Linked DNA regions of Stegostoma tigrinum. The protein of the gene in region 3 interacts with the protein of the main gene of each other region in a biochemical or structural test. Links are inferred from orthologs where the notes say so. Each region holds a gene or a part of one and is shown on either strand. Other genes may lie near its edges.

Region 1 (7,489 bases), on a different chromosome or scaffold from region 3:
ACTCACAAGTGTATAGTTCCCACTTTTCTTCTTATAGCCTTCCTTAAATAAAGACACAACAGCCTCCAGTCATCCAGCACTTCACCCATGGCTGGAGATTATAATTTCTTCCCTAAATTCCGATGAGTCCTGGGATACACTTGATCAGGTCCTGGAAATTTATCCACCTTTATATTTTTAAGACCTCCAGCAATTCTTCTTTTGTAGAATGGACCATTTTCAAGACATCAAGATTTATTTCTCTGAGTTCCCTAGCCTCCATTTCTTTCTCCGCAGTGAAAACTGATGCAAAGTATTCATTTAGTATCTCTCCCATCTCCTGTGGTTCCAAATGTAGACAACCTTGTTGCTCTTTAGCGGGCCTAATTGTCTCCCTTTTGCTCTTAATGTACTTATAGAATCTCTTTGGATTTTCCTTAGCCTTATTGAGTTATGGAGGTGTACAGTTTGGAAACAGACCCTTTGGTCTAACTTGTCCATGCTGACCAGGCATTCTGAAATAATCTAGTCCCATTTTCCAGCATTTGGCCCATATCCTTCTAAACCCTTCCTATTGATCTATCGAGTACTTAATGCTGAAGGTGCTAACCCAACACTAGGAAAATCAGGATAATAAAATGTGAGGCTGGATGAACACAGCAGGCCAAGCAGCATCTCAGGAGCGCAAAAGCTGACGTTTCGGGCCTAGACCCTTCATCAGAGAGGGGGATGGGGAGAGGGAACTGGAATAAATAGGGAGAGAGGGGGAGGCGGACCGAAGATGGAGAGTACAAGAGAGTTGCAATGGGAGAGAGATTCCCTGAGGTTGGTCCGGAGGGAGGAGGGTAACTTCTTCAGGTTAGGCATCCCATTGCAACTCTCTTGTACTCTCCATCTTCGGTCCGCCTCCCCCTCTCTCCCTATTTATTCCAGTTCCCTCTCCCCATCCCCCTCTCTGATGAAGGGTCTAGGCCCGAAACGTCAGCTTTTGTGCTCCTGAGATGCTGCTTGGCCTGCTGTGTTCATCCAGCCTCACATTTTATTATCTTGGAATTCTCCAGCATCTGCAGTTCCCATTATCTCTGATACTATTTTAACCTCACTGCGAAGCCTCTTCCAGGGATGCCTAACCTGAAGAAGTTACCCTCCGGACCAACCTCAGGGAATCTCTCTCCCATTGCAACTCTCTTGTACTCTCCATCTTCGGTCCGCCTCCCCCTCTCTCCCTATTTATTCCAGTTCCCTCTCCCCATCCCCCTCTCTGATGAAGGGTCTAGGCCCGAAATGTCAGCTTTTGTGCTCCTGAGATGCTGCTTGGCCTGCTGTGTTCATCCAGCCTCACATTTTATTATCTTGGAATTCTCCAGCATCTGCAGTTCCCATTATCTCTGATACTAGGAAAATCAGATTGGGTAGTACTCTGAACGCTTAAATGTACAACTACAAGTCACCAAGATAACAAAGGCTTTTCACAACTTTTATGTTCTACCGCCTGTTGTGTATGTGCAGAATCAAAATGTTAATCAAATCAGAGTCTACATGAGCAGTGTCAAATCCAAATACAAAACAAGTGTCTCCTGCCAAATTCTTTTCCAAGGCAATAAATAATTACATCATAAATCCTCCTTTCCTGGGACAATAAAGAAATGGCTTGAACAGTTTCTTCATTTCACAGTACCAAATGATGTTTTCTGGAAAAAAAATTGAGTGAAAAGTCAGATAGTAAGCAGGATTATTAAGGTCATTAGATGCCACAGCCAAGATTGACCAAATCTTCACACTGGCACTTCCAACAATTATTAGAACGCTGCCTGAATGCTTTCTTAGCTTAAAAAAGAGGCACAGAGATCACTTTTCCAGAAAACACCAGCTTCCCCCTTATATCCCACTTCTCTCCAGCACTGCCAGCAAAAATGTAGCTTGGAAGCTTGTTCGGCAAATGAAATACTGATCAAGGCTGTTCAGAGATATCCACATATGAGGAGGTTCATGATTGTATCAATTTGCTAGTATGCACTTTATACAGACCTGAAACAGGCACATGATGTTACAGATCTTAATATCTTTGCAAAGTGAGTTGTGCTGCCAAAGCTTTTCGCTAGAACTCATCAGAACAAATACAAATTGGTAACCTGACTTGCTAACCTAATTACACCCTTTTTCCACTGTAGTATAAATCGTGGCGATACTTAGAAATTAGGAATTCTTGCATTATCCTTAATGAACACAAGACAAACTAAAATGCTGCTTGGCCTGCTGTGTTCATCCAGCTCCACACTTTGTTACCTTTAGCAACTTGTTTCTCTTTTCAGCGATACTCGAAAACTTCAAAATTTTCCTTGCCACCATATGCCAGAGGCAAGCAACCAACTTGCCACCAAGCCTCTGTCAATGACACACTTTTTATGTAAAGAGAACTTGGAAAGAAAGTAGGCCAGTCAGCACGTAAATATTTCACCTCTCCCTATCATTGTCTACGTCTGCCAAGGCCCTCGTATCCCCCTTTTTCCCTCTTGATTTCCCACACGGTAATGGCCCTACACCTCTTATACTCTTCAAAGGATTCACTTATGGATTAATACAGTGTGGAAAAGGCCCTTTGGCCCATTGAGACTGCACCAACATATCTACCACCAGAGATACCAAAGTGTGGAGCTGGATGAACACAGCAGGCCAAGCAGCATCTTGGGAGCACAAAAGCTGACGTTTTGGGCCTAGACCCTTCATTAGAAAAGGGGGATGGGGAAAGGATTCTGAAATAAATACGGAGAGAACCCCCTCTCTCCCAATTCCCCTTTTCTGATGAAGGGTCTAGGCCCGAAATGTACGCTTTTGTGCTCCTGAGATGCTGCTTGGCCTGCTGTGTTCATCCAGCTCCACACTTTGTTATCTCGGATTCTCCAGCATCTGCAGTTCCCATTATCTACCACCAGAGATGTGTTAATCCTAATTTCTTGCACTTGTCCCATATCCTTGAATGTTATGATATTTGATGTTCTTATTGAAATATTTTTTAAAGGTCTTAAGGATTCCAAGCTCAACTACCTAACCAGGCAGTGCACTCCAGACTCCCATCACCTGCTGAATGTTAATTTTTTTTTTCTCTGAGTCTCCTGCCCCCTAACTTAAAACTATGACCTCCCATGACTGACCTCCTCAACCAAGGGGAACAGTGCTGTCTATGCACCCTGTACAAACTTCTCATAATCTTATAAACCTCAATCATGAACCCCCTCAGTCTTCTCTGCTTTAAAGAAAGACATAAAGGATTAGGACAACAGTGTGTTAAAATGGCAGAGGTAGATCAATCATAAATGGAAGGAACTGAATGGTCTAGTCCTCTTATTTTCCGATGCTCCTGTTATTTTTTAATCAAAATCAGAGTACCTTTCATCGTACAGTCCGACTCTTCATAGCTGCAGCTGTACTGGTCTTGACGAGACCACACATGGAGTATTGTGTGCAGTTTTGGTTTCCTTACCTGAGAAAACATGTGCTTTCCTTGGAGGGAGTCAGAAAAGGTTCACTCAACTGATCCGTGGAAATTCCAAGATAATAAAATGTGAGGCTGGATGAACACAGCAGGCCAAGCAGCATCTCAGGAGCACAAAAGCTGACGTTTCGGGCCTAGACCCTTTATCAGAGAGGGGGATGGGGTGAGGGTTCTGGAATAAATAGGGAGAGAGGGGGAGGCGGACCGAAGATGGAGAGTAAAGAAGATAGGTGGAGAGAGTACAGGTGGGGAGGTAGGGAGGGGATAGGTCAGTCCAGGGAAGACGGACAGGTCAAGGAGGTGGGATGAGGTTAGTAGGTAGATGGGGGTGCGGCTTGGGGTGGGAGGAAGGGATGGGTGAGAGGAAGAACCGGTTACAGGTTTGACATGAGAGGAGAGATTGGTTGACTGACCGTGTATTCACTGGACTTTATAAGAATGAGAGGGGATCTTATTGAAACGAATAAAATCCTGACCATGGCTGGACAGAGTAGAGGTTATTTCGCCTGGCCTGGGGTGTCTATAACAAGAGTCATTGTCTCGTCATGTGGGGGGAGATAAATTTTGAACTGAGGAGGAAAATTTCTTAACTGCAGGTGGCGAACCTCTCGAATTCTCCGGCACAGAAGGCTGAAGGCTGTGTAGTTCCGAAATATTTTAACAAACTAGTTTTGTAGAGACTAAAGCGGTACGGAGAGAGGAGCTTTGGTGTTGAGATAAAAGATCAGTCACCTTCATGTTGAATGGTGGAACGGATCTGATGGGTCGAGTGGCCTATTCTTAATCCTAACTTCTATGTTTCCTATTTAGATGTAAACATGTCACTTCTGTCATTAAAGACAGGTAAGATCAGCGATGATCCGACTGAATGGCAGCACAGTCTCGAGAGACTGATTGGCCGCCTCCCACACGCATGCGCCGATTCGGTTGACGTTGTGATGCAACGTCGTCGTAGCCAATGGAAACTTTTAGCGGGCTGGCGGTTGGAAAATTTGAATCTAATGAGAATAACGGCCGCAACGGTCTTGGAGAGAGCGACTGGACACCCGGGGACAGGGAGTCCGAGACCGAGAGACACCGGGACCCCCGGGGACAGGGAGTCCGAGACCGAGAGACACCGGGACCCCCGGGGACAGGGAGTCCGAGTCCGAGACCGAGAGACATCGGGACCCCCGGGGACAGGGAGTCCGAGACCGAGAGACGCCGGGACCCCCGGGGACAGGGAGTCCGAGACCGAGAGACGCCGGGACCCCCGGGGACAGGGAGTCCGAGACCGAGAGACGCCGGGACCCCCGGGGACAGGGAGTCCGAGACCGAGAGACGCCGGGACCCCCGGGGACAGGGAGTCCGAGACCGAGAGACGCCGGGACCCCCGGGGACAGGGAGTCCGAGACCGAGAGACACCGGGACCCCCGGGGACAGGGAGTCCGAGAGACACACACACCGTGAAAGCGGACGGTCCGTGAGCTGGAGGGAGAGTGAGATCGGACACGGTGATTTCCCGTTAAACTGACCGGCAGTGAGGGAGCGGAGTCGCAGGATGGTGAGGAAAAGGTAAGGGGTGGGGAGGGTGCAGGTGGGTAGTGGGAGAGAGGGCAAGGAGCCAGTATCGCAACACTCTCAGCTCCCAAAGCCCCACAACCCCCCCCCCCCCGAACCCCCACAGCCCCCCCCAAACCCCCACAGCCCCCCCAAACCCCCACAGCCCCCCCAAACCCCCACAGCCCCCCCCAAAACTCGGATCACCCAGCGCCACTCCGCACCCCCCCCCCCAACCCAGCGCCCCTCCCCTCCCCTGTTGTGTAATTGACTAAACTTTGGGTGTGCCTCTCCAGCCAGCGATTGGCAATAAAATTTTTCAAATTCTGGAGCAACAAAGGTGTTGACTCATTTTAACTGTCTTTAGACTGACATTTTGCATTGTTTTACTTGTCATTTTTGCCGTTCAAACTTTTTAAATCAATAACAATTATTTGCGTTCCCATGCAACACTGATGTTAGGATGTTTCTTGTCCTTTCAAATGTAGAGCAATCTACAGGATTCTTGCACAGAAATCTGCAATTTTAAAATTCTCTTTCTAAGAATGAACATTTTGCAAAAAGTGAATTCTACACTAAGGACAAGGTCTAATGAAGCGATTTAACCGGCCCTAAATTAGATCTCAGGAACTGCTCTTGAACAAAGGAAGAGTGTTAGGAAGGGTAGAAGGAGGGGAGTAGAGGGTGAGTTGAGGGAAAGAGGCAGGTTAGTGTGGATTGGGGAGAGATGGGATGAAGGAGGAGTGGGTGGAATATAGGGATGGGTGTGACTGAATGGAAGAAAAACAGTGGTACTGAAAGGGGGAAGTGGGAGAAGAAAACGAACACAGGCTAGGCAGCAACAGAGGAGCAGGAAAGTTGACATTTTGGATCGGAGCCCTTCCTCAGAAAAAGGATACTGACCCAAAACAGCAACTTTATTGCTCCTTTGCTGCCTGGCCTACTGAGTTCCTCCAGCTCCACACTGTATTGTCTCTGGCTCCAACATCTACAGTTCTTGAGATCTGAGGAAAATGATGGTCCTGTGCATAGGAGAGGGGACTGGTGAGTTAGGTGCGAGGTAGAGGGGAGGGAGGGAAGAATGGAAAGGACAGGGTGAGAGAGCGTCTGGGAGAAGGTGAAGTATTGAATGGTGGAGCAGACCGATAGGTCAAGTGGTTTTTCTCCCCCATGTTTGTTTTTGTTTTTCTTTTGAAAAATCAGCAAAATTTCGTGTTTAACTTTAGACTTTAATCTACCGTTGTGATTGAACTCTTGGTCCTAATTGTATATCTAGTGATTTGGACTCTTCCATTATTTTGGCCATGCTTAATTTGGATGAATGTTCCATCCAGAGAGAGTGAAATTTCTTTCAAGAACGGTAGTGTCAGTAAAATAGTGCTGACCAAAGTCTGAGCTGTAGGCAACAGTATTTGCTTTTCTGACAAGAGTCCCGAGCAAACAATAATTAGCACTGTTTCATTTTTGTAACACCTTTGTGTGTGCTTTTCTGATGATGCTCTGATTTATTGGATTTTCTGTATTGATTTGAGATACAATCAATTTTACGCATAAGTTATTCTGGTATTTTGCTGCTCTGCAGTGATGCTCTGGCCACAGAGTCAGTGACCTGTCTCAATGGAGCACTTGCCCATCTCCGGAATATCTGGGAAGAGATCGGGATTCCAGAAGATCAACGATTACAAAGAACTGAAGTTGTTAAAAAGCATATTAAGGCAAGAGCAAAAAATTATCAGAATTAACTTGAGCTTTACTAAAACAGAAGATGCATCCCTTAATTGTTGAAACAAGTTTTTTTTAAATCTGTCTTTGCGTTCTAATTTCAGTATCGGTTTACCTTCCGACAGTGAGATACACAATCTCAGAATGGTCCTTCTGTGGTCTAAGCTAATTTTGTTATTCATTGTTAATTGTGTTTACGTGTGGGGCCCTTTCCAAATGCCGTTGAATATTAGCTGGAATGGCCCAGATAAAAGTTACACTAAACTCTTAAGCTACTGTTATTTTACAACAGCAAGTAAATGTCCAGAGTGCTTGGTGTTACCAAATATCTCTTGGTGGTTTCTGGGCTTGAAGAATGACTTATCCTCTGATCCTATTTGCTGCCCATAGTGAACTGTTCAATCTGCATGTATTTTTTTATTTTTAATACGTTGGGTGCATATCTTTAAATAAAAAACAATTCTGTCAAAATGAATTGAACCTTCATTATCTACAACCTTTTTCACCTCTGGTGCAAATTGCAGCATGTGACTTGTACTCCTTTTTCCATTTTCGCACAGGGGTTGTTGGATATGATGATTGCAGAGGAAGAAAACCTGAGGCAGCGGCTGAAAAAGAGCATTGATATGTGCCAGAAGGAACTCCATGCTGTGTGCCAGGAACTCAATTTGTCTGTTTGCATGGTGGGTCAAATTTTACTATAAATCACTTTTCCTTTTGAGCAAGGCTTTGGGGAAAAGGGAAGAAAAATAGCTA
Region 2 (7,358 bases), on a different chromosome or scaffold from region 3:
AGCAGAGGCGAAGGAATTGGGAAATAGGGGATGGAGTTTTTGCAGGAAGGTGGGTGGGAGGAGGCATATTCTAGGTAGTTGGGGGAGTTGGTGGGCTTGAAATGGACATCGGTTTCTAGGTGGTTGCCCGAGATGGAGACAGAGGTCCAGGAAGGTGACGGATGTGTTGGAGATGGCCCAGGTGAACTTGAAGCTGGGGTGGAACGTGTTGGTGAAGTGGATGAACTGTTCGAGCTCCTCTTGGGAGCACGAGGTGGCGCTGATACAGTCATCAATGTAACAGAGGAAGAGGTGGGGTTAGGGCCAGCGTGGCTGTGGGAGAGGGACTGTTCCACGTAACCTACAAAGAGGCAGGAGGGTCTAGGCTCAAAACATCATCTTTCCTGCTCCCCGATGCCTCTTGGCCTGCTGTGTTCATCCAGCTGTACACATTGTTACCTCAGACTTTAAATTTGATAAGTTTTTGGTATCTAATCGCCTGGTTCAAATTGATTAGCTAAAGGCAAACGCCCATTGTCTTGGTAAAACTACTGCTGGGCCTGCTCACTGTATGGGCTTTTGATGCAAACATTTCACTTCGGGTGCTTTCTGTGCACTTGCAAACTTCCAGGGTTCTGCTCACAGGCATCCATTTTACATCTCTAAGCACAGAAAAAGCACATGATCTTTTAAAGGGACCACGCAATGCCTCCCCCCACCCTCGAATTTTACAAACACCAAATTCCTGCCTCCCAATTCACACGTACTCTATCCAATTTTGCAACATTGATGATCCTTTGTGGACTTACCTATGGGCTGAGATTGACATAACCCCATAAACCCCATTTTCCAGAGGTGAAATAAAAGTGGGATTGACTGGACTACTTCACAGTATTTCCTCAACAGGCCAAACAGCCTCGTCTTGTGTCATACTGAATCAGACTCGAACACTGAGAGCCCACCATTAAATCAGAGCTGCAACTCTCCGCTGGTGTCTAGTTCAATGTTGCAAACTCTGCTCTGCCTTCCCCTCCCACCCTCCGCAAAGCCAGTTTGTTTCCCTAATCCTGTAACTACATGGAGAGCAGCCAATTATTGTTTTGGAGTCGATTCACTGCTGGTTGCAATTAAGTGGGAGCCTAAGATGGCTAGTTGTTTAGAATTCTTATAAATCTGAAGTAAATGCAACATAAAAATCCCCAACATCCTAAAACAAAAGTTGACATCCAGTTGTGCAATAAAAGCATGCACACCCCTCGTACATGGACGACAACAAATACAGCTTGCCCCTGACTAACTCACTTTATCCCAGGTGAGGTTTGAACCACAAGCTTGAGCTCTTTAGGCAATGTGCTTAACTCAAAGGAATCTCCTAGGGTTTGGGGCCAGTTTGTACCAACCAGCCCACTTCTAAAACCATGCAATATGGCGGTACACAGGCACAGGTGATTCAGCCATAGAGCTGTACAGTCTGGAAACAGACCCTGCCGTGCAACGCGCCCACACCAACAGAAAGTAATCCCCTCCCATTTGCCAGCATTTGGCCCATATGCCTCTATACCCTTCCTATTCATGTACCCCTCCAGAAGCTTTTCAAATGCTAGAACTGTACCTGCCTCCACCACTTTCCTCTGGCAGAACTACACTCTGCAGGTCCCTGTTAAATCTTTCCCCAAAACAGTCTAGTTTTGGGCTCTGCCACCCTGGGGAAGAGACCTCGGCTATTCACTATCTCTGGCCCTCATGATTTTATAAACCATGATGAGGTCACCCCTCAGCCTCCAACATTCCAAGGAAAATAGCCCCAGTCTATTCAGCCTCTCCCTATAGCTCAAACCCTCCGACCCTGGCAACATCCTTGTAAATCTTTTCCGAACCCTTTCACGTTTCACAACATCCTTCCAGTAGCAGGGAGACCAGATTGAATGTAATATTCCAAAAGTGGTCTAACCAATGTTCTGTCCAGCTGCAACATGACCTCCTAACCCCTTTACTCAATGCACTGACTATAAAGGCAAGCGTACGAGATGGCTTCTTCGCTATTCTGTCAACCCGCAACTCTACTTTCAAGGAACTACGAAGCTGCACTCTCATGTTGATAGATTACAGTTTAAGTGGTGTGAACTCCTGACAATGGGAGTACTGTAATTTAAAGTTACACCAGCAGATAAGGGAACACAAAACATTAAATATTGGGCAAATCTTATTTTACAGCACATTAAAACCAAAGCTACATAAACATTGGATTCTCAGTGTGATCACTTACCCCTTCAGGATGTTTGAAATGGAGTTCTGAAGTTTCAACACTCTACAGAGGTCCAGGGATTTCTTGTTGGCTCTGACTAGTCACAAAAATGGTGTTGTTTCACCAAAGCTAGGATTGACCAAAGTCAACCCAAGGTGGTAAATCCTACAATATGCACTGGGTAATTTCATTTACAAATAGCAGTATTTGTATCCAGCAGCTGAAGATTTTGGTAAGCCTGTTGTTTCTGCCTGTCCACAACCAAAAAAAAAAATGGATTTTTGTTTCTTTCCACCTTTAAGAAGGGTTAAGAGAAAAGCTTCATTTATGTTTTCTGACAATTCAGAGCAGAGGGTTTCTAACTCTCCCCCCCCACCTTTCCAACTGTCAGCTCCAGAACACAAGGCCTATCATTTCCTTCTCCTCTACTCACCATCTGAAGTCAAGTAAACAAGGTCCTTTCTCTTTCCCAGTAGCAGTTAACAGTGTCTGTCTGTCTGTCTCTGTATACGATCCTGTTGTCTCCCTCACACTCTGTACAAACAGTCTGGCCTGGTCTCTATCTCACTCATGCACTCCCAGCATACAGGGTCTAGGCAATCTAGCTCTCTCCCACTCCTAGTGGAGTTTTTCTTCATGTTTTTCTTCCCAGCATACAGGGTCTAGTCTTTCCCTCCCTTTCTCTTCTTGTATACAGGATCTTAGTCTCTCTCTGTCCCTCATACATACACATAGGTCTCATCTGTCTTCCTTTCTCATTCTGACAGTATTGAATATCCAGTCATCTCCCTCCAGGAATACATAATCTCAATTCTCCCCCCCTCCCTCTCTCTCTCCCCCTCCCCCCAAATACAGTATCAAGTTGCTTTCTCTTTGTTCCTAATGCCACCCTACAGAGACAAGTCTCTCTCACTATCTCTCTCTCTCACTACACAGGACCCAGTCTCTCAGCTTCACCCCAATTACAACAGTACAGATTCCAATCTGCGTGTCTCTTCTCTTACTCTTTTTTCCAGCTTTATGAAATTCAAACCCTCTGTTTTTTTCTCATTCTCTCCTTACGAAACAAGGTCCCAGCGTGCAGGATCTGGTCTCACTCCCTGCCTAACTTCCAGTCACACACGTGTCATCACCCTCTCTCCCGGGCTCAGTTAAACTCTCTGTCTCACCACCAATTCCGAGTCTTCATCTCTCTACTGTCACCCCCAGCAGAGAAAAAAAGAAACTTTGATCTGTCTTTCTTTCGCTCTGTCAATCTCCCCACAGAAGGGATTTGCTCTCCCTCTCTCTAACTACTAACACAGAGACCTTTTCCCTGCCATTCTCCGCTAACTGGAATATAAAAACTCTCTGAGCATTCCCTTCAATCACATTCAGCAGAGCGAGCATGCCTTTCCCTAACTCGCCATCAGTGCCTGCTAGCCCTCCCTGTGCTCCTCTAGCTCCGCCACTTCCGCCTCCAAAGGGATTTTAAATCTGCCGCGCTGACACTGTTACATTATCAGCCAATGGCGTCTCTGTTTCCGGGAGCAGCCAATCACAGACCGCAGCCTGGGTTTGAAGGCTGGGGGAGGGAAGGCTGTTGGCCCGCCTCCCGCTCTGGCCCATTGGTCGTTTCAGGTCGGGCTGTCTGATTGGACCAGTTGACTGTCAATCAAGCCCACGGCCCTTGAAAGCTGCGCTGGGTCCAAGCGTCTGCCTTTGAAATTGCGATGGGACTCGGTTTGTGTTTCCTCCTGTTACACCCTCTCAATAAATCCAGTCCTTTAGAATATGTTGCAGAGCACCAGTGTTATAGGTCTGAAAGCAAGCATGCCAATGGTGTGTTTGAAGGAGCAGTTCAAAAGAGGACATTTGACCCAACCAAACAGTCCCCTACAGTGTGGAAACAGGCCATTCAGCCCAACAACTCCAAAGAGCATCCCACCCGTACCCAGCCCCTACACAATCCCTGCAGCCCTGCATTTCCCACAGCTAATCCACCTAACCTGCAAATCCCTGGATGCTATGGGCAATTTAGCATGGCCAATCCTACACATCTTTGGACTGTGGGAGGAAACCCACACCGATGTGGGGAGAATGTGCAAATTTCACACAATTGCCTGAGGCTAGAATCAAACCCAGGTCCATGGTACTGTGAGGTAGCAGTGCTAACCACTGAACTGCTATGCCATCCCATTGTGTCTGTACCAATTCCCATTAACAGCTACACAACTGATATGAGCCCTGACTTTTCCCTTTCGCAAAATGTTTTCTTTTCAGATTAGATTCCCTTCTGAATCAGCTTTTCCACATGCCTGTACATCTCAGATCCACGAGCCCTGCAAAGAAGCGTTTTCTCCTTGTTACATTTGGGTTCTCTTGCCACAGACTTTATATCAGCAGTTTCTGTTTCCTGAACCTTTGACCAATAAAATCAGTTCCTCCCAACCTGTCCAGATTTTTGAACATCCCCATCAATTCATCCCCCCCAACAACAACAGATCTGACCCCTCTGATCTACCCATGGAAGTTGGTGGAATTTAAAGTGAAATTTGTAAGACTCGGAATGAGTATTAGTAATAATATTAGTAACGGCTTAGTAATGGCAGTTCAAAACAATAATTGATTGTATTTTTCAAAACCCAGGCCATTCAATAATATCCTTTACAGAAGAAAATCTGCTTATGTGCTGTCATCTACATGAGACTTCAGGTACAGTGCAGTGCAGTTGACTGTGAGGTGGCCTCTGAAATGACCCAGAAAGCCGCTTAGTTCAAGACCCATTAAAGATGGGCAACAAATGCTGGGTCTGCCAGCAACCCCCACAAGAATTTTTTAAAATATCCGCGCAGCTGAAATTAGACATCCCCCAAACCATTCCAATGTATCTTTTCTGCATCCTCTCATAGAGTCACGGAGCAAGGAAGCAGATCCTTCGGTCCAGAGTGTCCATGCTGAAGAAGTTACTCTCCTCTCTCCGGACCAACCTAAGGGGATATCCATCTTCAGTCCGCCTCCCCCTCTCTCCCTATTTATTTCAGAATCCTCTCCCCATCCCCCTTTTCTGATGAAGGGTCTAGGCCCGAAACGTCAGCTTTTGTGCTCCTGAGATGCTGCTTGGCCTGCTGTGTTCATCCAGCTCCACACTTTGTTATCTCATAATCCCAAACTAAACTAGTCCCATTTCTAATTTCTTCATGTCCTTCTTAAAGTGTGACTTTTGACTAAGTGCTTTGGGTCTACCACAATGAATGAACTATTCCAAACAAAAACATTACAGTTAATACAGGCAGAATATTTGTTCTTATGCAAAGTTCTGTTAACACTAGATTCATTGAAGTTTCAGAGCAGGCTGCTGTAGCGTCCATTTGGTGCCATAAACATTTGCCAAAGTCTGCATGGACAGTGCATGCTGTCAGTTTGCTGTTTAAAAATTTCCAAAATATATTCTGAACGCCAAAAGTCCTTTTTCTAAAAAATATAAGCGGACAACAGTTTGCGGGTAAAACACCTTCAATGCAAAGAAACATCACAAGATTCGCTCTAATTGTAACAAAATAGGATCCCTGAACAAGAATTCGGGAGATTTGGTAGGGTGAGGGAATCTTGGTGGCGAATTTGAAAGGTTTTTAAATGTAGAGAGGGAGATAGTTCAGTAAATTTATTTCTTATATACCGCTCTATACTGAGAAGAAGTGCGATGTTGAACTTTTCACATTTCTTTATTTTTCTACTTTTTACCAAAGATTTTGGACCTAAGATGGCACTGCGAATGGCAACATTGTAAACTTTTCACTGTACTTCTGCATCCTTCCGCTTGAGTACATGTGACAATGAAACCTAATTCCGAACGCTCTGTTACATACCTTGGGACAAGAATGGGGCTGTTGGAGATTATAGAGATTGGTGGAAAAATACAATGAAGGAACTTATGGATGAGTTCCAGGATGTTTAATGTGAAGATCAGTGTAACTCCAAGCAGAATTTAACACAGGAAAGAGCACATGTGAAGACATGGACCATTTGAAGTCTCTGGAAGCTGGCACAACGCCATGTAAAGAAAATGCTGGAAATATTCAGTAAGTCCAGCGGCACACTGGGGTCATAGTTATAGAGTCACACAACACAGAAACAGACACTTCGATCCAACCAGTCCATGCCAAACATAATCCCAAACTAAACTAGTCCCGCCTACCTGGTCCTGGCCCATATCCCTCTAAACATTTCCAATTTGTATGCTTATCCAAATGTCCTTTAAATGCTGTAACTGTACCCCCATCCACCACTTCCTCAGGAAGACCATTCCACACGTGAACCATCCTCTGTGTAAAAAAGAGTTTCCCATCACATATTTTCATTTGGTTGATGACTTTTCATCTCTGAATCATCCCCAGAATTGAATCTAACGGTACATTTGTGTTTGCATGGGGTGGAGACCTGCTCAAGAAATTGCGCCTTTGGAATTAGAGTGTCGTGGATGTTGTTTATTGTTCTGAAAGGGTTAGTGCTCTACAATGCCTCAAGGTGACAAACAGAGGTTGTGAACGCAGCCCAGTCCATCACACAAACTGACCTTCCATCCATTGACTCTATCTATACTTACCACTGCCTCGGGAAAGCAACTGGCAGCATCAAAGGCCCCTCCCCCACCCCAGTTATAACCTCTTCCCCCTTCTTCCAGCGGGCAGAAGATACAAAAGTTTGGGAACACGTACCAACAGATTCAAGAACAGCTTCTTCCCTGCTGTTATCAGATTCATGAACAGACCTCTCAATTATTTATATAATTTCTTTTTTATCCCTTTAGTAATGCTGTTAGAAAGACTATACATTAACCCGTATGGTGTGTGTCAGCAATCATCAGCTACCTCATCTGAAGAAGATTCAACGTCAGACTTCTGTAATTTCAATCTAATGTTGATCTGGCTTTGTGCACCCCCTGTGCAGTTGTAACCTGTCTGCCTTGCTCTGTCTAAGCATCCCATGATCTGTACGTTCTTATTTGCTATGATCTGCCTGTGCTGCTCGCAAACCACAACTTTTCACTGTACTTAGGCATATGCAACAACAATAAATCAAATCAAATCAAATCAGTCAGGAGACAATGAGGAGAAATAAACAGGGCTTTTTCCAAGTGACAGGCAGCAACCTG
Region 3 (6,827 bases):
GATTCTCTTAACCCTATTCCTATCTCACATTCATTCTCTTAAAATGACCTGCCAAGTAGCTCTCACCTGGAGAGCATTTAGTATTTATTACTTGAACCATAGTCAGTCGGTTTCTATGTAGCCAAACTGCACTACTTTTGATTACACCGTATAATTTACTCCCTGCAGTAAAGGGAATCAGTTTTTGCAGTATGCCAAGGAATCACTGCAGTTCATTCTTAACTTCTTCTCCCTTCCTTTGGCTGGATACTAACAATTGGTTTTAATGCCCTTGATCAGTTATCCTTGAATCTGCCTGTAGATCTTCTGACAAGTTATTATCAAAATATAAATTGGACAATGCAACAATCTGGTGATAATTGTGACAGAGGGGAAGATAGATATGTTTGACTTGGATGTGTGTTGTTATGCATTTTGGTTCCCCCAAGAAAGCTCTACCTCATTGTCATTGTGATAGTTGCCTGTAAATTTTGAAGAAAACTTGGAAAGTTCATAATGTTAAACAACAGGTGAAGAACTTACAAAGGATCAAGAGGTTAAAATTTAAAATATCAGAAAACTTACCCGTATTAACAGGCAAAAGACCCAGGTTAAATCTTCTAGGAATAACTTTGATACAGGTTGATCCTTGCAGCTTTGACCAGTGTAATGGACAGATGGTCTGTTGAAATTCAGATAAGCCCATATGTTACAAATTTCTTCCGTACCTTGACTTTAGATGAAGAAAATTACAAGCAGTAAAACTGACCTAATGTCAGCAATACAGCATATAAAGAGGGGGGCTGGTATCAGAATTTCTCCAGATTGACAGTCTTGGCGACTCTAAAGCATCCAATTAAGTGAGAAGAATAATTAATATTCTTCACAATTGAACCACTATGGTACTGGCCAACGAGCATGATTGGACATCATAACTAAAACATGCCAAAGCCCACACTTTCCAGAGGAGGTCACGAGGCAACCACCTACAGCATGAAATAACCAGATTTTCCAGACCCACGGTCCAACAGCCTTTCTGGCCATGACATTCATTGATAGAAGCAGATAATTTCAGAATAGTGATAACACAGGTTGGGTGGAAATAGATAGTCATGCAGTATGTTCATGGCAGGTGCCCAAAACAGCTAGTCTCACCAGACCACTTTTCACGATTTCTCTTCAGAGAAAAAAAACTCTTCTAAAATCTATAACTGAGACTGCCTTCATAACATTCTCAGGCACTGCATTCTAGATTCTAACCACTTGCAGATGAGAAAGATTGCGCTTCATGTCACTTCATGTCCTTAAATCAGTGATTCTTCCAAGATCAGGAACAGTTTCACCCTATCCATGCAATTTAGGCTCATGTGGTACAGTATGGAAAGTATTTGTTGAGGTCAAATCAGTTTTACAAAGGTTCACCATAATTCCCTTGCTTTTGTATGCTTTTACAGCACAGAAGAAACAATTTAGTCAATTATGTTTAAGGAGAGAGAGGAAAGATTTAAAAGGGACCCAACAGACAACTTTTTCACACAATATGTAACAGAATGAGCTGCCATAGGAAGTGGAAGCTTGGAAAAATTACAACATTTAAAAGGCATTTGGATGGGTCTATGAACAGGAAAGGTTTAGAGGCATACAGGCCAAGTAGTGGCAAATGGGACTAGATTAGTTTAGGATAACTGTTCGGCATGGACGAGTTGGACAAAAGGGGGATGGCAATGACGTGGTTGTATTATTGCTGGATTGTTAATCCAGAGACCACACAACATTCTGGGGACCAGAATCCCACCACAGCAGATGGGGGAATTTGAATTCAATAAAATATCTGGAATTAAAACTCTAATGACAACTGTGAATCCATTGTCAATTGTCAGGAAATACCCACCTGGTTCACTAATGTCCTTTAGGGAAGGAAACTACCTTCCTTACCTGGTCTGGCCTACATGCGGCTCTAGACTCAGCAATATGTTAGACTCTGAACTGCCTCTGGGCAATTACGGATAGGCAATAGTGCTGCCAAGCCAGCAACACCCTCATCCCATGAATGTATTAAGAATGAAGATCATGCTGTACATCTCAATCGCTACATCTTTGACAGTTATGAGTCCTCAAGCCCAGTCCCATTTTTAACTATCAAAAGTACTGTGAGCGTACAGATTGTTAAATAAAAACAAAGCGCTGGTGAGATTCAGTGGGTCTGGCACTATCTTTGGAGAAATAAATATTTCAAATGCGATAGGACCCTTCTTCAGTACTGGAATGGTGATGATTTTTCCAATTCTTGGTCCGTAATTCTGTAGTTAATAGCACCACAAATACACAAGTATGTTAAAGGCACAATTCGTTCAGGTATTACGACCCCTTTGGATGCGAAAAGTTACTTACTTCACCTCTAAACCAATTATTTCAAATTTTGTCCGCGGTTAATGATCTCGCTACTCTTATAATAGAAACCGCTCTTAAACCCCCTCAGCCTCATCTAACCAAAGCAGATTGTTGGTCAACTCTACAAAAACAGGAATAAACATCGACACTAACAATTACAGCAGGTGCTACAGCCGTGAGTTTAAAAAAATAGGTTCACGTGTAGCCTTCAGAAGTTAGTCTGACGACCACCCTTCCAACCACTACCACCTCGGGCACGTCCAGGAGGCCCAGATTCAGCCCGGGCCTGAGGTTTGCCACCCCCGACGTACCCCTCGAGCCGGGCGATGGGAGGGGATCTCCCATCGCCCGGGAGGCGGTTTTTATTCCTGGTCCCCACCTGCCGCCGGGGCCAACCTGCAAGCAGCGCGGCGGCGATGACGAAGGGGCTGCTGTAACAGGCCGAGCAGCGCTGGGCTGACACAGAGAGACCAACACTACCCGTTGCCGTGCCCGCTCCCGCCGCAGTTTGAACGCCACTCGCTCGCTCTTCCCCCTCCAACCGCTCCCTCCCTGATTCAAACCCGTAGCCAATCCGCGCCGCCATTTGGATTCAAAGGGGCCAATCAAACCGGGGGAGCTCGCTGAGGTCCTTCGCCCAGCGCTTAGGTGGCCAACGAGAAAGGCGCGAAACGCCGGAGCTCAGCGGTAGCGGTGAATGGGCGGGGCCTGGAGGCGGGGCGGGGCCTGACCGTCAGTCTGCTTCCGACCGTGGGGCGGGGCCCCAGGATGGGCGGAACCTGCGGACGGGGCGGGATTTGACGATGGGGCGGGGCACGTCGATGAGGCGGTGTCTGGGGACGGGGCGATGTTCGATAGTGGGGAGGGGCCCGATGATGGGGCGGGGTCTGACCGTGGGGCGTGGTCCGATAAAGGGCGGGGTCTGACGATGGGGCGGGGCATGTCACCACTGGTAATAAAATGTGAGGCTGGATGAACACAGCAGGCCAAGCAGCATCTCAGGAGCACAAAAGCTGACGTTTCGGGCCTAGACCCTTCATCAGAGAGCTGGGTCACCACTGGGTCTGGAATCAGGCAGGGAACTTTGGAGGCGGTCAGGGACGGCCCGAAACTTGAGCGCAAACTTGGATTGTTTTTCCGGTTGCTGGATTTTTTTGTTTCGCTAAAGGTTTGAGGTGAGCGGGCGGATTTTAAATGGCAGGTTTTGGCACTGTTATTGCCTCCTGCCTTGTAAGATATTGGTTTGCACCCTGGTGGTCAGCATCTCCTGAGGTGGCTCAGGTGACCCGAAGCTCTCTGCATTTGTTGGAGAGGAAGATACTAGTCATTTTTGAACTCACATATTGGCACAGATTAGATTAGATTCCCTACAGTGTGGAAACAGGCCCTTTGGCCCAACAAGTCCACACCGCCCCTTGGAGCATCCCACCCTATAAGCCACACACCCTTGAACACTATGGGCAATTTAGCCTGGCCAATCCACCTAACCTGCACATCTTTGGACTGTTGGAGGAAACCGGAGCATGTGGAGGAAACCCACGCAGACACGGGGAGAATGTGCAAACTCCACACTGACAGTAGCCCGAGGCTGGAATCGAACCTGGTTCCCTGGTGCTGTGAGGCTCAGTGCTAACCACTGAGACACCATTCCGCCCCCAAAATTGGCTTTGGATTTGACTCAGGGGAAGGGTTTTTGGGGGATCCTCTTCTTGACCTGCTGAACTGTTCGTTTCTGGTCACATTTCCCAATGACCTTCAAAAACAGCCAACCTCAGAACCAGCCCAATCACCAAGTTGACATGGAGGGTGGGTAAAATCAGAAGAAATAGGGACTATTTCTGAAGAAGGATCCAGACCCGAAACATCAGCTTTCCTGCTCCTCTGATGCTGCTTGGCCTGCAGAGTTCATCCAGCTCCACACCATGTTATCTCAATTCTCCAGCATTGGCAGTTCCTACTATCTCAGAAATAGGGAGTAGTTGTGGGCCATTCAGCCCCTCAGATGTGTCCCCTCATTCAAACAGATCATGGAATGTCTGATTGTGGCCTCAACTCAATTTTCCTCTTACGCCCTCCTCGTGCCCCACGATCATTCAGATCTGTTCAAACCTTGTTGACAAATTCTTAGCTTCGCTTGAATGGCCCGAAAAGTGAGGTCTTTTTATGACCTTGGAATCCCTACAATGTGTAAGCAGTCTACGTGGCTCATCAAGTCCACACCAATCCCCTGAAGAACATCCCACCCAATCCCTGTAAACCTTGCATTTCCCACACTAATCCACATAGTCTGCACACTACAGGCAATTTAGCATGGCCAATCCATTTATCCTGCACATCTTTGGACTGTGGTTGGAAATCTGTGCAGACACAGGAATAACATACAAAGTCCACACAGTCACTCAAGGGTGGAATTGAAGCCAGGTCCCTGGTGCTGTGATGCAGCGGTACTAACCGCTGAACCACTGTTTTGTCTTTCTAAGGGGCTTAAACTCAGTGTGCCTACATGTCTGTTCCAAGCTGCTTTCAAAAAGACTTTCTGTTTTAAGGTTTTGTTTTCAGTTTTCAGACATGCACGCATATTATACTTGACCAGCGATAGGTATTGGAAAGGAATAAAGGATCAGATGTTTTATTAAAGCCATTTCAAGAATTATCTTATCGATAAACTCAGAACCACCTACCATGGCCAGGTGTTTATGAACAGTTCTGGCTGCACAGTTTTACAACGCACGTTCTTCTTGAGTCATTTCTCATGCAGCCGTCTGATGCTGCTAAAATAAAAAGCTCCCAATTCCCATATGTGCTGGGTACCAGGGAGATTAAAGTTACCCATGATCATTGCCGTCCCTTTATATTACAAACACCCTATATACTTTGTTACACACTGTGCCACCTTTGAGTAACATTGCTAATCATCCATCTTTATCTAACTTGCTTTTGTTTTCGAATATCATATACTTGCAATATTCAGGATCCAATCCTTCTTGTCCTGCAGAGATAATAGGAACTGCAGATGCTGAAGAATCTGAGATAACAAATGTTTCCGTAATGGCCCTCAGATTGTATTTCTTAATTTCACTGTGCACTATCAAGATATTTACTTTATTATAAATGCAGTGCAGATTCTTAAGCAGAGACATTAGTTTTGTTTTTTATTGTCTTTGTGACATTTAGTCTTGATTATTGGAGTATTCCTGGTTTATCTCTCTGACCCTCAATTCCCACATAACTGTTTACCTCTCTTACCCAGTCTCCACTTTCTGACATGCCACATCCAGTGTCTTAGTCCTCACTGTTAAATTTCACAAGAGCATTGGGTCCAGCGCAGTTCTGGATATAGACTGCCCCAAGAGTACAGTCCCCACTTCTCCCAGCTCTTGTGACAGTGGCCTACAAACCAGAACCTATATCCCCCACTCCAATCATTGAGCCATGTATTCACCTCTCTAACTTTATGTCCCCATGCCAATTTGTACACGGCGCAGGTAGTAATCCAGAGATTCAAACCTTTGAGGCTCTGCTTTTTAATTCCGTGCCTGGCTTCTCATACTCCCGGTCCAGAACCCCTTTCCTAACTCTCTCTCTGTTGTTGGTACCTACATGGACCATGACAACTGGATCCTCGCTGTTGTGCTGCAGGTCACTGTCCAGTTTTGAGCAGATAGCCTGAGTCCTGGCACTGGACAGGCAGGATAGACACCTGGACTGTCACTGTTTGCTGCAGAGTGTCAGTCCCTTTCATTGTACGATCCCCTGCTTCCACTATGTTCCCTGTTTTTCTCTTGACTCAAGTGGTTTCCTGTACCACAGTGCCAGAGTCAGTTTTTTTTTTATCCAGCCCGCAACTCCTGTTCTCATCCAAACAGGCTTAGAGAACCCCACAGCTATTGGGCAATTGCACAGACTGGCATTCTGTGCCCTGCATTCCCTTAGCTGCCTGACAAATACAGCCTACTCACCCTGAACACTGACCAAATCAGAAGACTCTATCCTAAGTGGTATGACTGCCTCCTGGTATGGGAAAATCCAGGTAACCTTCCCCCTCAGTCATACATCACAGTGTCTCTAGTTCAGCCTCGTTCATAAGCTCCCCGCTGAAGCTAAGCTCTTACCACAGACACAGTGTAGAAGCAGGCCGTTCAGCCCATCAAGTCTAAACCAACCTTCCAAAAAGCACCCCCTAACCCTGCTAATCCACCTAGCCTAAGCATCCCTGGACACTACAGGCAGTTTAGATTAGATTAGATTCCCTACAGTGTGGAAACAGGCCTTTGGCCCAACAAGTCCACATGACCCCTTGAAGCATCCCACCCAGACCCATCCCCCCATAACCCACACACCCCTGAACACTATGGGCAATTTAGCATGGTCAATCCACCTAGCCTGCACATCTTTGGACTGTGGGAGGAAACCGGAGCACCTGGAGGAAACCCACGCAGACACGGGGAGAACGTGCA
Region 4 (7,061 bases), on a different chromosome or scaffold from region 3:
CACAGCCAATGAGTATCAAGAGAACATCGTGCTTCAATAAAGGTAACTTACCTCAACGCTTCCCTCTGGGAAACCAAATCGCTTCTGAACAACAGCAGTCAGTTCACGGATTCGGCGACCTTTCTCACCCAGAACGTTCTGAGTCCTAATAATGTCAGAAGAAGTTATCATACTTTGGGCAAATTGTTTATGCAACACAACTAATGTGGGCCTACAAAATTTGAAGTGTGAAGTAAAATAATGTAACTAAGGACCCTTTGGATTGTTAAGCTGCTAACATCAATAATTCCATCATTTACTTTTTAAATGAAAGGTAATTACAAAAGTTGATGATTATCATCTCATAACTTTAGGTTTATAAAGTAGCTTATAATCACTACACATTAGAGTTTCACTTGCCATTATCAAAATGCTTTCACTGTGACCGAATTAAATTTGCAAGATCACAGTACAGGTGAATGAACTTCAGACAAGACCATCTTTCAACATCTGACCTGCAGGCTTCTTTTCAGGTTAGGGTGGTGTGTGCTGCAGAAGTATGTATCATACAATAATCGAGCTACACGATGGTGAAGTAGCAGCATAACCAAATGGACTAGAACCTAAGACAACGATCTCAAAATGCACAGTACAAGATGAACCTTAAAGTCTTCAAGTGAGTGTGTAGCAATTTCACCTATACAAAAACAAATGTCAACTGGGAATAGACATGGCATGCAAAATGGTTCTACCAAGTCACATGAAGGACAAAGAAAAGGTAAATAGTTTAATTCATGAAGTAATTACCTGTCAACCACATGAAACAAAAATCAATTTAACTATGTGTTCAGATCAGAGGGGTATTGTAATTCTTGTCAATTTCACCTCCAGCAGGTTTTGGATACACACTGATGTGTTTCTGCACACCTATAGTGAACGTATGAGCTTAACTTCAAAGCCAAAGGTCAATAAGTCCCCTAGACCTGATGAGTTTCATCCTGTGATTTTAAAAGACTAGCTAGTGATACCAGTTGCACTTGTAACTTGCCAAGAATCCTCAGATTCAGGAAAAGACGCAGAGGACTAAATGACAATGCAACACACTTATTGGAAAAAAGTGTGACAAAACAGGTAATTATAAGCCAGTTAGCTTAGCAGGCCATTGGGTAGTGTTCAAAGATATTAAATAAAGAATCTAATATCAGAGCATTTAAAAGCATAAAACAAGTGGAAATTACACATAACAAGTCTACTACAGTTCTTTGGCAACAATAGGTCATTAAAGGGGTACCAGAAGATGTAGTACATTTGGATTGCCTAGAGGCATTCAATAAAGATACTACATTTAAGGCTACTTGTTAGCCCATGGTATGGGGGCTAGTATATTAGCATAGATAAAGGATTGGCTATCTAATACACAGATCAGAGATACAGGAATACATTGTGGGAAAGAGGTTATACGCTTTGGGAGGAAAACTAGAAGAGCTGAATGTTATTTGAATGGGGAAAGATTGCAGAAATTTGAAAGACAGAAGGATTTTGAGGTTTGAGTGTGAAAGTCAATGAAATGCTAGCCAAGCCTCAAGTGGCCACAGGGAAAGCAAACGGACCACAGTACAAAAAGGACTTGCTAAAACTATACAAGGCACTAGTCTGACCATAGCTAGAATTCTATGAACAGTTTTAATATCCCTTACCTAAGGGAAGATGTACCAGCATAAGAGTCACTCTTTTAATCCTTAGCTATGAAAACATTCTTATAAAGGAGATTTGAGCTTCTACTCAGTTTAGGAGAATGAGGCACAATATCATTGAAACACAGATTTCTTAGAGGCTTGACAGCGTGTATGCTGATAGGTTACAGAATTTAGGACCAGAGAACACAATCTCACAGTATGGAGTTGCACATATAAGACAAACAAGGGGAAACAGCTTTTCTTTCAGGAACTCCTTTACAGCAAAGGGCTGTCAAGGTTGGGTCATTAAGTGTTTTGAGACAGACAAGTTAAGAAAAAGGGAATTAAAGGTTATGTACAAAAAGGCAACATGGCAAAGTGGAGTTGAGGATCAACAAATTGGCTACAATATTAATGAATGGCAGTGTGGGCTCAGAGACAAATGGGCTACTTCTGTTGCTATCTTGTGGCTTAAATGTTGAAGCTGAACTTTGGAAATTCAGTCACTATTGAAATGCATGCACACAAGGCAACCAGTCTATACATAGAAAGCTCCCACAAACTGCAAAAAGAGAGAATGACTAGATCAACTATTTCATTAGCTCAGCTGAGGCAGAGTTCACATGCCATTACTGACAGTTTAGTCAACCATCTGGGCAGAAAAGCTGAACGCCTGATGGATGGCAGATTGCAGTGCTACACTGGCATCTCAGTGTAGTGCAATGTGCTCAAGTTGCACTGCCTACAGTCTGTTTTCTCAGCGGCAACAGTATCAATGGCGTGAACTACTACCTTCACCGTTCGGTCAGAGAGGCTAACAAGGCGTACACAATGTGTCAGTCAGAGACAGGGCCCAGTCAGGACCAACCCTCTGGGAGGGGGAAGGGCTACTAGGAACGTCGGCCGCTTAACTGTTTTCTTTTACCTGGTGGCCAAGATGATGATCTCGGTCCTAGTCGGGGTGACGCGGACCTCCACGCCACTGTAGCCATCCTCCGCCAACTCGCGTGTCAGGAACTCGTTGAGCTCGGCCTTGAAGATGCCGTCCGCCACGAACTGAAAACAGACGGCGCCATATTAAAAGTCAGGGGACACCATCCAAATCAATCCTCCTCCATCCGCCGCCGCCAGCATTCGACCCAGCCTCGTTCACCCTCGACGTCCTCTCCCACACTCACCCCCGTCCTTATTTCCTCGATCAGCGTTCCCGCCCTCCCGCTCCGCACCCACTCCCGCCGCTCACCTTCCGTTTCTTGGAGATCTGTGCCGCCATCTTCCTCGACGGGGCCGCGACTGAAAAGGAAGTCAACCCCGGGCTGATGTTATTTAAACAAGCAACCGTTTCCGGTTCGTCTCCTTCCACCAACGGGAATGAAGAACAGCAAGGCACGTGACTGCAGGCGGACACTGTGGCTTCTGGGTTATGTAGTTCATTTCAATTAAAAGCGTACACGTGGAATTACGTGGGAAAGAAACAATCAAAAACCCATCCTACCGGAAAGGTCTAATGTGCATGCTGCAGAATAAATAGGAACGGCTGCTGGAAATCTAAAATTAACAGAAGATACTAAAATCTGACATGGTTGTGGCTGGCCAGCTTGCCGAGCTGGTTCGTTGTTCCGCAGACATAGCATTACCCTGCAGGCTAACATCGACATTGCAGCCGCTGATGAAGCGCTGTTGTGTTTTCCCGCCTGTTATTTAAATAATATTGAAATGAAATACAATGAATTGTCTGCGGAACAACGAATCAGTTGGACATAGAGCAGTTTTTCCGCCGTCTTTGCCTCCATGCCTACTTCTTCAACCGGGAACCTAACCCTCCTTCCACTGACCCCTTCACCCGCTTCCAACACAAGTCCTCCTCCTGGACACCACCCCCAGGCCTCCTACCCTCCCTCGACCTCTTCATCTCCAACTGCCGTCGAGACATCAACCGCCTCAACCTCTCCACCCCTCTCACCCACTCCAACCTCTCCCCCGCAGAACGGGCAGCCCTCCACTCCAACCCCAACCTCACCATCAAACCCGCAGACAAGGGTGGCGCAGTGGTAGTATGGCGCACTGACCTCTACATCGCCGAGGCCAGACACCAACTCTCCGACACCACCTCCTACCGCCCCCTCGATCATGACCCCACACCCGAGCACCAAACCATCATCTCCAACACCATTCACGACCTCATCACCTCAGGGGACCTCCCACCCACAGCCTCCAACCTCATTGTTCCCCAACCCCGCACGGCCCGTTTCTATCTCCTTCCCAAAATCCACAAACCTGCCTGCCCTGGTCGACCCATCATCTCAGCCTGCTACTGCCCCGCCGAACTCATCTCCACCTATCTGGACTCCAATTTCTCCCCTTTGGTCCAGGAACTCCCCACCTACGTCCGTGACACCACCCACGCCCTCCACCTCCTCCAGGACTTCCAATTCCCTGGCCCCCAACTCCTCATATTCACCATGGACGTCCAGTCCCTATACACCTGCATTCCGCATGCAGATGGCCTCAAGGCCCTCCGCTTCTTCCTGTCCCGCAGGCCCGACCAGTCCCCCTCCACCGACACTCATCCACCTAGCTGAACTCGTCCTCACCCTCAACAACTTCTCTTTTGACTCCTCCCACTTCCTACAGACTAAGGGGGTGGCCATGGGCACCCGCATGGGCCCCAGCTATGCCTGCCTCTTTGTAGGTTACGTGGAACAGTCCCTCTTCCGCACCTACACAGGCCCCAAACCCCACTTCTTCCTCCGGTACATTGATGACTGTATCGGCGCCGCCTCTTGCTCCCCAGAGGAGCTCGAACAGTTCATCCACTTCACCAACACCTTCCACCCCAACCTTCAGTTCACCTGGGCCATCTCCAGCACATCCCTCACCTTCCTGGACCTCTCAGTCTCCATCCCAGGCAACCAGCTTGTAACTGATGTCCATTTCAAGCCCACCGACTCCCACAGCTACCTAGAATACACCTCCTCCCACCCACCCTCCTGCAAAAATTCCATCCCCTATTCCCAATTCCTCCGCCTCCGCCGCATCTGCTCCCACGATAAGACAATCCACTCCCGCACATCACAGATGTCCAAGTTCTTTAAGGACCGCAACTTTCCCCCCACAGTGATCGAGAACGCCCTTGACCGCGTCTCCCGTATTTCCCGCAACACATCCCTCACACACCGCCCCCGCCACAACCGCCCTAAGAGGATCCCCCTCGTTCTCACACACCACCCTACCAACCTCCGGATACAACGCATCATCCTCCGACACTTTCGCCATTTACAATCCGACCCCACCACCCAAGACATTTTTCCATCCCCACCCCTGTCTGCTTTCCGGAGACACCACTCTCTCCGTGACTCCCTTGTTCGCTCCACACTGCCCTCCAACCCCACCACACCCGGCACCTTCCCCTGCAACCGCAGGAAATGCTACAGTTGCCCCCACACCTCCTCCCTCACCCCTATCCCGGGCCCCAAGATGACATTCCACATTAAGCAGAGGTTCACCTGCACATCTGCCAATGTGGTATACTGCATCCACTGTACCTGGTGCGGCTTCCTCTACATTGGGGAAACCAAGCGGAGGCTTGGGGACCGCTTTGCAGAACACCTCCGCTCAGTTCGCAACAAACAACTGCACCTCCCAGTCGCAAACCATTTCCACTCCCCCTCCCATTCTCTAGATGACATGTCCATCATGGGCCTCCTGCACTGCCACAATGATGCCACCCGAAGGTTGCAGGAACAGCAACTCATATTCCGCCTGGGAACCCTGCAGCCGAACGGTATCAATGTGGACTTCACCAGTTTCAAAATCTCCCCTTCCCCAACTGCATCCCTAAACCAGCCCAGTTCGTTCCCTCCCCCCACTGCACCACACAACCAGCCCAGCTCTTCCCCCCCACCCACTGCATCCCAAAACCAGTCCAACCTGTCTCTGCCTCCCTAACCTGTTCTTCCTCTCACCCATCCCTTCCTCCCACCCCAAGCCGCACCCCCATCTACCTACTAACCTCATCCCACCTCCTTGACCTGTCCGTCTTCCCTGGACTGACCTATCCCCTCCCTACCTACCTCCCCACCTATACTCTCTCCACCTATCTTCTTTACTCTCCATCTTCGGTCCGCCTCCCCTCTCTCCCTATTTATTCCAGTTCCCTCACCCCATCCCCCTCTCTGATGAAGGGTCTAGGCCCGAAACGTCAGCTTTTGTGCTCCTGAGATGCTGCTTGTCCTGCTGTGTTCATCCAGCCTCACATTTTATTATCTTGGAATTCTCCAGCATCTGCAGTTCCCATTATCAACGAATCAGCTCGGTAAGCTAACCAGCCACAACATCCACAACCCGAGCTGCAAATCTACTCTAAAATCTGACAGATTGTACCATATCCCTTCAGCTGTTTACAACAATGAAGACGAAATGTTCGGAGGGATATAGGCCAAATGCAGGCAAATGGGATCATTTTATTTTGGGAAACGTGGACAGCACGGAAGAGTTGGGCTGAAGAGTCTGTTTCCATGCTGTCTGACTCTATGACTTTATAACAAGTGAAAGTATTGACTGTACCCAACCAGCCCGCACTTGCTAAATTCACAACACAGTGTCCCATGTTAGAGCAATCCCCCTATAACCCACCTAAGCTACACCTCTCTGAATACTATGTGCAATTTAGCACGAGCAATCAACCTAACCAGCACATCTTTGGACTGTGGGAGATAATCAATGTTAGATGTGATTCTACAATATTTTGCTGCAGATACTGAAATCCAAGGTAGCCACATGGGAGGCTGGAAGAACACAGCACGCAAGACAGCATTTGGACAAAAAGAGAAGTCAATGTTTTGGATATTACCCTTCTTCAGGACTGCTAAAGAAGTATACTGACAACCAAGCCTACAGTAAAGCTGCATAATCACTCAACCTTTATTAATTCAGCAAATAAGGTGACAGGCACGCAGTGATTCATTTCTCATAGCAATGTTCGAACTAATCAGAGTCAACCTGCCTAGTTTGAAATTTAGAGTCTGGCAGTTCAGTCTAACAGTCAATCATCTTTAACTGCTGCATTTCCAAAAGAAGTGTTTCTACCAATCAATCAACTTGCCAACCAACCAGAACAAATGTGGGTTCCCCTGCCTCGAACTGGTATTCTTGTGAATTATCCTGATGAGTACAAGACAAATAGCTTTGATAAAATTTGACAGTTTTTTTGTTATTGAGTCATACAGCATGGAAATAGATCCTTTGCTTCACCTTGTCCATGCTGGCCAAGTTTCCCCAAACCAAATTAATACCATTTGCCTGTGCTTGGCCCATATCTCTCTAAACCTTCCTATTCATATACTTATCCAAATTTTTTTTACATGTTGTAACTGTACCTGTATCTACCAATTCCCCTAGCAGTTC

The links.
Region 1: of the proteins of cdk1 (region 3) and prc1b, one has a biochemical effect on the other in vitro, tested with the Homo sapiens proteins (2 studies listed by BioGRID). The link is inferred for Stegostoma tigrinum from reciprocal best matches to the Homo sapiens genes CDK1 and PRC1.
Region 2: the proteins of cdk1 (region 3) and M-phase inducer phosphatase 1-B-like form a complex in vitro, tested with the Homo sapiens proteins (3 studies listed by BioGRID, with this or other methods). The link is inferred for Stegostoma tigrinum from reciprocal best matches to the Homo sapiens genes CDK1 and CDC25C.
Region 4: of the proteins of cdk1 (region 3) and rps3, one has a biochemical effect on the other in vitro, tested with the Homo sapiens proteins (2 studies listed by BioGRID, with this or other methods). The link is inferred for Stegostoma tigrinum from reciprocal best matches to the Homo sapiens genes CDK1 and RPS3.

Annotation. Positions count from the first base shown.
Region 1 is NC_081389.1:22,225,519-22,233,007, reverse strand, and holds the start of prc1b (protein regulator of cytokinesis 1b), read left to right. Parts: upstream 1-4,483; 5' UTR 4,484-5,012; coding exon 5,013-5,026; intron 5,027-6,593; coding exon 6,594-6,726; intron 6,727-7,293; coding exon 7,294-7,416; intron 7,417-7,489. UniProt on the Homo sapiens protein: Key regulator of cytokinesis that cross-links antiparrallel microtubules at an average distance of 35 nM. Essential for controlling the spatiotemporal formation of the midzone and successful cytokinesis.
Region 2 is NC_081366.1:76,177,516-76,184,873, reverse strand, and holds the start of M-phase inducer phosphatase 1-B-like, read right to left. Parts: upstream 3,021-7,358; 5' UTR 2,246-3,020; intron 1-2,245. UniProt on the Homo sapiens protein: Functions as a dosage-dependent inducer in mitotic control. Tyrosine protein phosphatase required for progression of the cell cycle. When phosphorylated, highly effective in activating G2 cells into prophase.
Region 3 is NC_081373.1:51,575,946-51,582,772, reverse strand, and holds the start of cdk1 (cyclin-dependent kinase 1), read right to left. Parts: upstream 3,007-6,827; 5' UTR 2,982-3,006; intron 2,903-2,981; exon of another isoform or gene 2,750-2,902; intron 2,706-2,749; exon of another isoform or gene 2,682-2,705; intron 2,645-2,681; exon of another isoform or gene 2,524-2,644; intron 662-2,523; 5' UTR 565-661; intron 1-564. UniProt on the Homo sapiens protein: Plays a key role in the control of the eukaryotic cell cycle by modulating the centrosome cycle as well as mitotic onset; promotes G2-M transition via association with multiple interphase cyclins.
Region 4 is NC_081359.1:90,805,096-90,812,156, reverse strand, and holds the start of rps3 (40S ribosomal protein S3), read right to left. Parts: upstream 3,016-7,061; 5' UTR 2,929-3,015; coding exon 2,899-2,928; intron 2,712-2,898; coding exon 2,581-2,711; intron 146-2,580; coding exon 52-145; intron 1-51. UniProt on the Homo sapiens protein: Component of the small ribosomal subunit. The ribosome is a large ribonucleoprotein complex responsible for the synthesis of proteins in the cell. Has endonuclease activity and plays a role in repair of damaged DNA.